Saccharomyces cerevisiae S288C: one gene and its partners. The gene in region 3 interacts genetically with the main gene of each other region. Each region holds a gene or a part of one and is shown on either strand. Other genes may lie near its edges.

Region 1 (2,679 bases), on a different chromosome or scaffold from region 3:
CTTAGCCAGGCTGCTGGTGGGCCTACCGTGCGTTGTTATCTGGAAGTACGTGATCAGCAAACCGATGATCTACACGTTATTGATCAAAGTTTTCCATCTGAAGGATGACAGAAACGTTGCGGCAAGAAAAAGACTGGAGGCCACGCACAAAGAAGGTGCAAGCAAGTACGAATGTCCATTATATATTGGAGAGCCCAAGATTGACATTCTAGGTAGATTTATTATCTATGCTGGCGTTCCATTCACCGTTGTAATGTGCAGCCCCGTCCTATTTTCCCTCTTAAATATAGCATAAAACAAAAGGAACAAAAAAAAAAAAATAGACAAAATGTAGTGTAAATGTATCCGTTTCTAAATTAAGTACTTATAAAAAAATATGTAACTGAAAAAGTCATGTTGTATAAAAATTTGAGGCACCGTACCAGGACCCCAAAAGAAGAATAGGTTAAAGTCATCATCATTAATAAACCAGGAAAGAAAAGAGCATAATTAAGATACGCCTACAACTTTGGCGCGTGAGCCAAGTGTCTTCTGGTAGCTAGTGAGGCACTCAAGGGACCATATGTCTTGGCATTTTCTCTATATTCCTTAAAAGAGTTGAACGAGTTGCCCGGAGATCTCTTGAAAATAGTGCTGGCCATGGCGCTAGCGGCTATCCTTGAGACACCCGCGGAGGCGGCTGAAGAAGAGACGGCGGCGGCTAATCTGGTACTTTGGGCGATCATTTAATACGTTTATTTACTGTCTTATGAATGTAATATTTAAACTTGTGCGTAATCATTAAAACAAAGGTGAAAAATCACATTAAACATCTCCCTACATTACTTTCGGTTTATTCTTTTATATGTGTGAAACTTTCTCTCTGCACCAGGAAGTGGTCATGCTTGATGCTCGGCTCCCACCGGAAAAACTAACTTGCGGGCGGGAAATTGATCCCTGAAGTCATGCCCCTCACCTTCATTCGTGGATCTTATCTCCAGAGCAACCAAATGTGGAAATGGCATGACACCCCCCCACACACGTTCCGCCCACTTTTTTTCAAATGTGTGACACACCCATACCCCATAATGTTGCACGTGACAGGTTTGTATCACGTGCTTCTTAGGGTTTTGTTTTAGGTCTGAGACATTTTAGGGTTTTTTTTCATCAAGTCTAGATCGTTTGTAACGAACGATTGCTCCTTTTTTCTTTTTTTTTTGCTTTTTTTTTATACTCACCGTTTACTGTCATTATGTCTCTCGAGAAACTGGGCGTGTGTGCTAACCAAGACTGGATCACCTTTACATAGCACTTATTGCATTTCTTGGTGTTTCGTACCCTACAATTGACAAAAGTAATTTTGTCGTTCATTTCTTCATCGATTCTTTCCTCTTTCAACAACTTCCTTATTTTATCTTGGGATCGTAACTTCACTTAATTAATCACGATTCCCATATTCGTTAACACCTCTTAAGGTTTGCTGTAAATATATTTATGTTATAAAAAAAGAAGATATTATGGTAGAAAACTCGTCGAGTAATAATTCAACAAGGCCAATTCCAGCAATACCTATGGATCTACCCGATTATGAGGCGCTCCCCACCCACGCGCCATTGTACCATCAACTTATAGCGGGTGCATTTGCTGGTATAATGGAACATTCAGTGATGTTCCCGATAGATGCCCTTAAGACGCGAATACAATCAGCCAACGCGAAATCGCTGTCTGCCAAGAATATGCTTTCGCAAATATCTCACATCTCTACTTCCGAAGGAACTCTAGCCCTATGGAAGGGTGTTCAGTCTGTCATACTAGGTGCGGGACCTGCGCATGCAGTGTATTTTGGTACGTATGAGTTCTGCAAAAAAAATCTTATCGATTCGAGTGATACGCAAACGCACCATCCTTTTAAGACAGCTATCAGTGGTGCCTGTGCCACCACGGCATCTGACGCATTAATGAACCCATTCGACACAATAAAACAGAGAATCCAACTCAATACCTCGGCATCAGTATGGCAAACCACAAAGCAGATTTACCAATCTGAAGGTTTGGCAGCATTTTATTATTCTTACCCAACCACCCTAGTAATGAACATCCCATTTGCAGCATTTAATTTCGTCATATATGAATCATCCACAAAATTTTTAAACCCATCAAATGAGTACAACCCCCTCATACATTGTCTGTGTGGCAGTATCAGCGGATCGACATGTGCGGCGATCACAACACCTTTAGACTGCATAAAGACAGTACTGCAGATAAGGGGCAGTCAAACAGTTTCGTTGGAAATTATGAGAAAGGCGGATACTTTTAGTAAAGCAGCCAGTGCCATATATCAAGTTTATGGCTGGAAAGGGTTTTGGAGAGGTTGGAAACCAAGGATAGTGGCAAACATGCCGGCTACTGCTATATCATGGACAGCTTATGAATGTGCAAAACATTTCCTAATGACGTATTAGTTGGTTCTTACATGTCATATTATTTTCCATTCATTTTGCATCTCAGAAGATTATGTGTATATTATCATTTTCCTGTTGTGACTTTATGTACATTTATATATACAAATTTAATTTGATAATCCCAAAGCTTGAGCTCTTTCCCTCAACGAAAAGTTTTCATTTTTTCTTCATTACTTTATATATCTATGTTTAGTATACCCAAAGGGTATTTCGGACGCAGGCAAGCTGCCATTATTTA
Region 2 (2,516 bases), on a different chromosome or scaffold from region 3:
ATATACAAGGGCGCAACTGGAGATCTTTAGATTTTCATTTTGTTTGCTAGCACCTGTTGCTGTAATGTACTATATTGGTACAGATACTGATAAAAAATTAAATGTTCCAGGGTTTTGGCCAGATCCTGCAACGTTGAACCAAATACCAAAAGAGCCTTATGAGATTAAAGCTGAACTGGCAAGGATGAAAAAAGAACGTTTAGAGAAAAGGCTTAGGTTGGAGAAAAAGATACAAGAGGAGTTTGGTTTAGACCTTGAGGAGGAAAAAGAAAAAATTAAACGGGATTTGGCTCTCAAAAAAGGATGAGAAAAGAAAACGGTTAAAGATGTATACTTGCACCTGACCACTTTTTCTTCCTTATATTTATTATTCTAACATGTACATACCTGTATAGTCGTATTTCCACTAGATCATCACTTCCCCTCTATATTCATGTCTGACCTGGTTATGCAGGTCATGCTCTATTCAAATAGTATTGAAAAAGCTGAATGAGCAATAATTACTGATTTTCTTCTTCATCCATAGGATTATATATATTCTTAGATAATAGCCTATTTAGCTCATGCTTAACAAATTCGACTTTCGAGGGATTTACTAAAAGATGGGTGTCATCCAACTCCTCTAGTACTATATCACTCATCTTGGCGTCAATTTGTAATATGAGCGCCTTGATGGATGGATCACATTGAACCAGTGCACCCTTTCTTGCTCTAGCCATTTTTTCGTTCTTTTACAAAAGTATCTTGGCTTTGTCTCTATTGGGAGTACACTTCTATCTTACTGCAGTTTGCTCGTCTTTTTTCAATAATACGATACAAAAGAAAAATTAAAAGGGCTATTGAGACTGTTGTAAAATATATATGCAAAATAAAAAAGCATTTTAACGAAGAGTATATACCTACTATTAGACATTAATGACTACAGATAATCATCAGAATGATTCTGTTTTGGATCAACAATCAGGCGAACGAACAATTGATGAGAGTAATTCCATCTCTGACGAGAATAATGTTGATAATAAGAGGGAAGACGTTAATGTAACTTCACCAACAAAAAGTGTTAGTTGCATATCACAAGCGGAAAATGGAGTAGCTTCTCGAACAGATGAGAGTACAATAACAGGAAGTGCGACGGATGCAGAAACAGGTGATGATGATGATGATGATGATGATGACGATGATGAAGATGAGGATGACGAAGATGAGCCCCCCTTATTGAAGTACACACGAATTAGTCAACTCCCGAAGAACTTTTTTCAACGAGACTCGATCTCTTCATGTTTATTTGGTGATACTTTTTTTGCATTTGGTACACACTCAGGCATTCTACACTTAACTACATGCGCGTTCGAACCCATTAAAACCATCAAATGCCATAGATCTTCGATACTTTGTATTAACACTGACGGAAAATATTTTGCTACGGGATCTATTGACGGGACAGTGATTATCGGATCGATGGATGATCCACAAAACATTACACAATACGATTTCAAAAGACCTATAAACTCTGTAGCGTTGCACTCAAATTTTCAAGCATCCAGAATGTTTGTTTCTGGTGGAATGGCTGGCGACGTTGTACTATCTCAGAGAAATTGGCTAGGAAATAGAATCGACATCGTTTTAAACAAGAAGAAAAAGAAAAAAACAAGAAAAGATGACCTATCCTCTGATATGAAGGGCCCTATCATGGGAATTTATACTATGGGTGACCTTATATTATGGATGGATGATGATGGAATAACATTTTGCGATGTTCCTACAAGATCACAGCTTTTGAATATTCCATTCCCCTCCAGAATTTTTAACGTACAGGATGTAAGGCCAGATCTATTTAGACCCCATGTTCATTTTTTAGAAAGTGATCGTGTCGTTATCGGATGGGGATCTAATATTTGGCTATTTAAAGTTTCCTTTACCAAGGATTCAAATTCGATCAAATCCGGTGACTCTAATTCTCAAAGTAATAATATGAGTCATTTTAACCCTACGACAAACATCGGATCTCTCTTGTCTAGTGCTGCATCGAGTTTTAGAGGGACACCTGATAAGAAAGTTGAATTAGAATGCCATTTTACTGTGTCAATGTTGATTACAGGGCTTGCATCGTTTAAGGATGATCAGTTATTATGCCTAGGTTTTGATATAGATATTGAAGAGGAAGCAACCATAGATGAAGATATGAAGGAGGGGAAGAATTTTAGCAAGCGGCCAGAAAACTTATTAGCCAAAGGGAATGCTCCAGAATTAAAAATTGTTGATCTTTTTAATGGTGATGAAATCTATAATGATGAAGTTATCATGAAAAACTATGAAAAATTGTCTATAAATGATTATCACCTCGGTAAACATATAGATAAAACAACACCAGAATACTATTTGATAAGTTCCAACGATGCCATCAGGGTTCAAGAGTTATCATTGAAGGATCATTTCGATTGGTTTATGGAAAGAAAGCAATATTATAAAGCTTGGAAAATCGGTAAATATGTAATTGGATCAGAAGAGAGGTTTAG
Region 3 (3,676 bases):
AAACTGCCCCGGCCTCTGATTTCTCTAAAGAAGCAGTGGAAGATGTTGTACAACAGCCATGTGGCGATGGAGTAAAGTATCTTCTTGGTAGCGCTAGGCTCTTGGTAGATGTATGCCTGATCAGCCGACGTCTTGACGCTTTTGGCCTCGATGGAACTGTAATTCGTAGTTTTCTGTGTGCTCTTGGAAGAGGCAAATTTCTCCGTGAGTTTTGGTGCAGGCATTTTTTTTTACCCCGATGTAAACGCCCCTGTGCTCTTTTTACTATATATTTAATTCCGGGCTTCCTACACTTAATTCACTCTGTTATGAACTACAAGCCATTACTAACATCAATCTTTCCGAATCATAAATAAACTGCAACTGGGAAAGAAGGCGGGCCTACTTTTCTTTTTCTTCATAGCGCGTAGGGCTTGGCAGCCATAGTTGTTGAGAGACCGATGGATGAGGGATTGAAAGAAGGGAGAAGAAGAATACTAAAAGAGGAATGTAGAGCCGGGTTACAGGAAAACTAACTTTTCACTCAGGGCGCCGCATCTTTTCCGCAGGCGCGCCATGAACTGGCCAGCACGTTCTACGGCGAAACCTTCGAACTGGAGGCGGCTCACACATAGTAGTAAGTTGCCGCGACAGGTGACCAAAATACAGTCTTTAATATCATCATATTTGAACATGCCCGGTTTACTGCCATTATCTAGACGTGCGTCTCTCATCACTTTACACTCATGAAACAATATTCGTTTTAATACTGAATTTTGAGCGTCCTTTCTTGCCGCTGTCGCTTCTTTGAACGCGTGCAGAGGACCGAGCGTTTCGAGTTTGTTAAGTAGTTCGGCGGCAGAATCGCGCGCCCAATGAATGCGTTTATCTTCTGTTGTTATACGGTGGGCGTAACTGGGTTTGTAAGCTGTTGGCGCTTGCACACGGTTCTGTGGTAGATATAACCTCTCACGAAGCGTTTGGCCCAAAAGTTGGGCGCCAAGGGCGCCCAACTGGTCCATCAGTATGGCAGTCCTCCGAGGCAGGCCCTCAGAATTAAAATCTGCCGTCGAATCATTGACTCTCCCTTTTGACAGCATTGTTGCGATCGCCAGTGGCTCCGTCTGCGCTACAATTGCACCATGGTCAAACCGATCCGGATGCAGTGTCTGTATAGTTACACCGGTGTAAGTGTCACCCTCGAGCAGAGCTCGCTGGATAGGTGCACTGCCTTTATGTCTGGGAAGTAGCGAAGGATGGACGTTTAGCGCCAATGGCACCGCGCGGATCAAGTCACCCGGAATGAGCTTCCCAAAAGAAACCGCAATGATCGCGTTGAACGGAGCACCGGAGCCGTCGTTCTCCGGATTTCCTTGGCGACTGGGTGTCAGTTTGCTTAGCGCCAACATTTCCTGCTTGGTGTCGCATGTAATTGGGCGTGGCAATTGAAGCTTCTCTGCCATATCGAAGATCGGCGGGTATTTCAAAATAGACTTCTGTCTACCGCACCACTTCGGCGACCTAGTTACTACTTGAATATTGTCCACTATACCACAGCTTCCATTATTTTGACGCAACTCATTGAGTGCTTGCAATGAGAAATTACTGAAAGTGTCGCTACCAAAGAAAAGCACATTCAAGGGCTGCACTGGTGGAGAAGCATTGTTTGAAATATATCTGCATGTGAATAGGAGGCGTGTAGGTGTTATTCTTCTCATTTTAACCATTTGTTTGATACGCCGTTTTCAATCTTCTCACTATGAGGTGCCTAGGTCCCCTTCCTTTTTTTTCTTACCTCTCTTTTTACGTTAATGAGAAAAGCGCTTACTCCTCTCCATAATAGCAGGTACAGCTTTTTTTGCTTTTTTCTTAATGGACGCTTCTTCCATTTGATATAAATATGGGTTACCCTGTGGGCATACGATAATTTTTATTCTCTCGATTAAGAAACCGAGATGAGCTTTCATATTAGTTTGGTAATGATATTGATGTGGCAAGTTGAAGTAAAGAGAGAAGGCGTTCTATGGGCTGAGCATGAGTGAGGGACAAATTCCAAGCTCAGATGTGTTAGGCTCGCAATTGGGTGTTGGTGTACAAGGCGCCAGTCTTTACTGTCCGCAAGAAAATTACACTACGAAGAAGCAAGAAAAGCCACAATGGCTAAGACCAGTAGATGATACATTGGCCGAGGATGCACTAGACCTTCATATAGTGGTCAAAAGTCTGCTTTGTGATACTGCCATAAGATATATTTCCGACGACAAGGTTTTGCAAGAATCAGATGCCGACGATGATCTCATAACTAGCGATATTGATGAAGATACGGACAATCAGGGGGATACATCTATAGTGGTCAATCCAGTGATACCCGTGGTACCGAAAGATGTCCATTTTTTTAAGAAAGTTGACGTTGGTAATGATTCTATGTTTGGTGTGAACTGCGATACGCCAGTTTCATTTCAAGATTACATTCCTTCAGATTTGCTGCGCAACTTAGATGATACATTACAAGAAAGTACTAACTCTTCGAGGCCGATGCAAGACGCCTTCTTTTGGGATCCTACTGTGGCTAATCGACTGGACTCTCAATATATTCAGACAGCATCAGATTTAAGAAATTATAGAGACGGAACCGAAATCATAGCATATGCCTCGGGTAAAACAGGCTCAGTCCTAAATATAGCAGTTCTGACACGACAAAATACATTGCATTTAAACCGACATAACAATGTAACGAGTATCGAATTGCATTCACCTATCAAGAGTATTAAGATACCGGGGGCCTCTGAGTCCATCGGGCGGAGATCAAACCTGGTGGGCATAATCACCGAAAATTCTTTCCAAATCTTTAGAATTGAAAGTGTCCACTCAAGATCATGTGATGTCATGGTTAGTAGTTCAGAACCACTGTATTTTGTTGAAATAGACGACCTTCAGGTGGTAGATTTTGCATTCAATCCTTGGGACTTACAACAATTCGCAATCATTGATATAAAAGGTAACTGGAGTATCGGGAGGATACCAAAGAATTTCAATAATAATAACAAAAGGAAACTACAGTTAATAGATAACCTCCACGGTACGATTTTTGATCCAGAAGAATTATCGTCATGGAAAAGAATAGAATGGTTTTCACACTTCCAAAAAATACTGGTCTTTGATAGGTCCAAAATGATTGAGATCGACTTTATGAACAATTGGCAAACGGAAGTAGTACAAGCGAAAGCATGGTCAAACATACGTGATTATAAGCGGATAGATGATAAAAATGGTATTTTACTCACTTCAAGGGAAATAATCATCGTAGGGGCATCAGAATCAAATGATCCAGTGAGAAGAATATCTTGGAAACACGATCTGGATCCAGATGATACTACGCTCAGAATCACTGTACAAAAGGTTAAAAAGCCTGACCATATTCTTCTGGTGGCCTTTGTATATTCGATGCGGCATAAACGCATCTATATGCATGTATTTTCCCATAGGAAAGCAAACTTGTTTCAATCCTTAGGATGCTCAACAGTTCTTGAAATTCCGGGTGGGACCCCCACCGGTATAGAGACAATCTTAACACTGGATCATATAGACGATGAATCTCGGAGAGAGGAGGATGCAGATGAAAATTTTGAGTTAGTTGTAGATTTTTTAGTCAAACTAAGGAACTCATCCGAGGTTTATTACTATGCTTTATCAAACA

Evidence for each region. Genes that interact genetically often act in the same process or in processes that back each other up.
Region 1: mutations in FMT1 (region 3) and DPI8 together harm fitness more than expected from each alone (negative genetic interaction), as found in Saccharomyces cerevisiae (one large-scale study listed by BioGRID).
Region 2: mutations in FMT1 (region 3) and TFB5 together harm fitness more than expected from each alone (negative genetic interaction), as found in Saccharomyces cerevisiae (one large-scale study listed by BioGRID).

The regions. Positions count from the first base shown.
Region 1 is NC_001142.9:159,123-161,801, forward strand, and holds DPI8 (Dpi8p), read right to left. Parts: upstream 726-2,679; coding exon 501-725; downstream 1-500. Other genes in the region: sphinganine kinase LCB3, read left to right, coding at 1-295; MRS3 (Fe(2+) transporter), read left to right, coding at 1,497-2,441.
Region 2 is NC_001136.10:603,093-605,608, forward strand, and holds TFB5 (TFIIH complex subunit TFB5), read right to left. Parts: upstream 720-2,516; coding exon 501-719; downstream 1-500. Other genes in the region: PET100 (Pet100p), read left to right, coding at 1-307; VPS41 (Vps41p), read left to right, coding at 916-2,516. UniProt on the Saccharomyces cerevisiae protein: Component of the general transcription and DNA repair factor IIH (TFIIH) core complex, which is involved in general and transcription-coupled nucleotide excision repair (NER) of damaged DNA and, when complexed to TFIIK, in RNA transcription by RNA polymerase II.
Region 3 is NC_001134.8:200,086-203,761, reverse strand, and holds FMT1 (methionyl-tRNA formyltransferase), read right to left. Parts: upstream 1,707-3,676; coding exon 501-1,706; downstream 1-500. Other genes in the region: bifunctional glycerol-3-phosphate/glycerone-phosphate O-acyltransferase SCT1, read right to left, coding at 1-224; RRN6 (Rrn6p), read left to right, coding at 2,014-3,676. UniProt on the Saccharomyces cerevisiae protein: Formylates methionyl-tRNA in mitochondria and the cytoplasm. Responsible for the formylation of the 8 N-terminally formylated (Nt-formylated) mitochondrial matrix proteins that are encoded by mitochondrial DNA.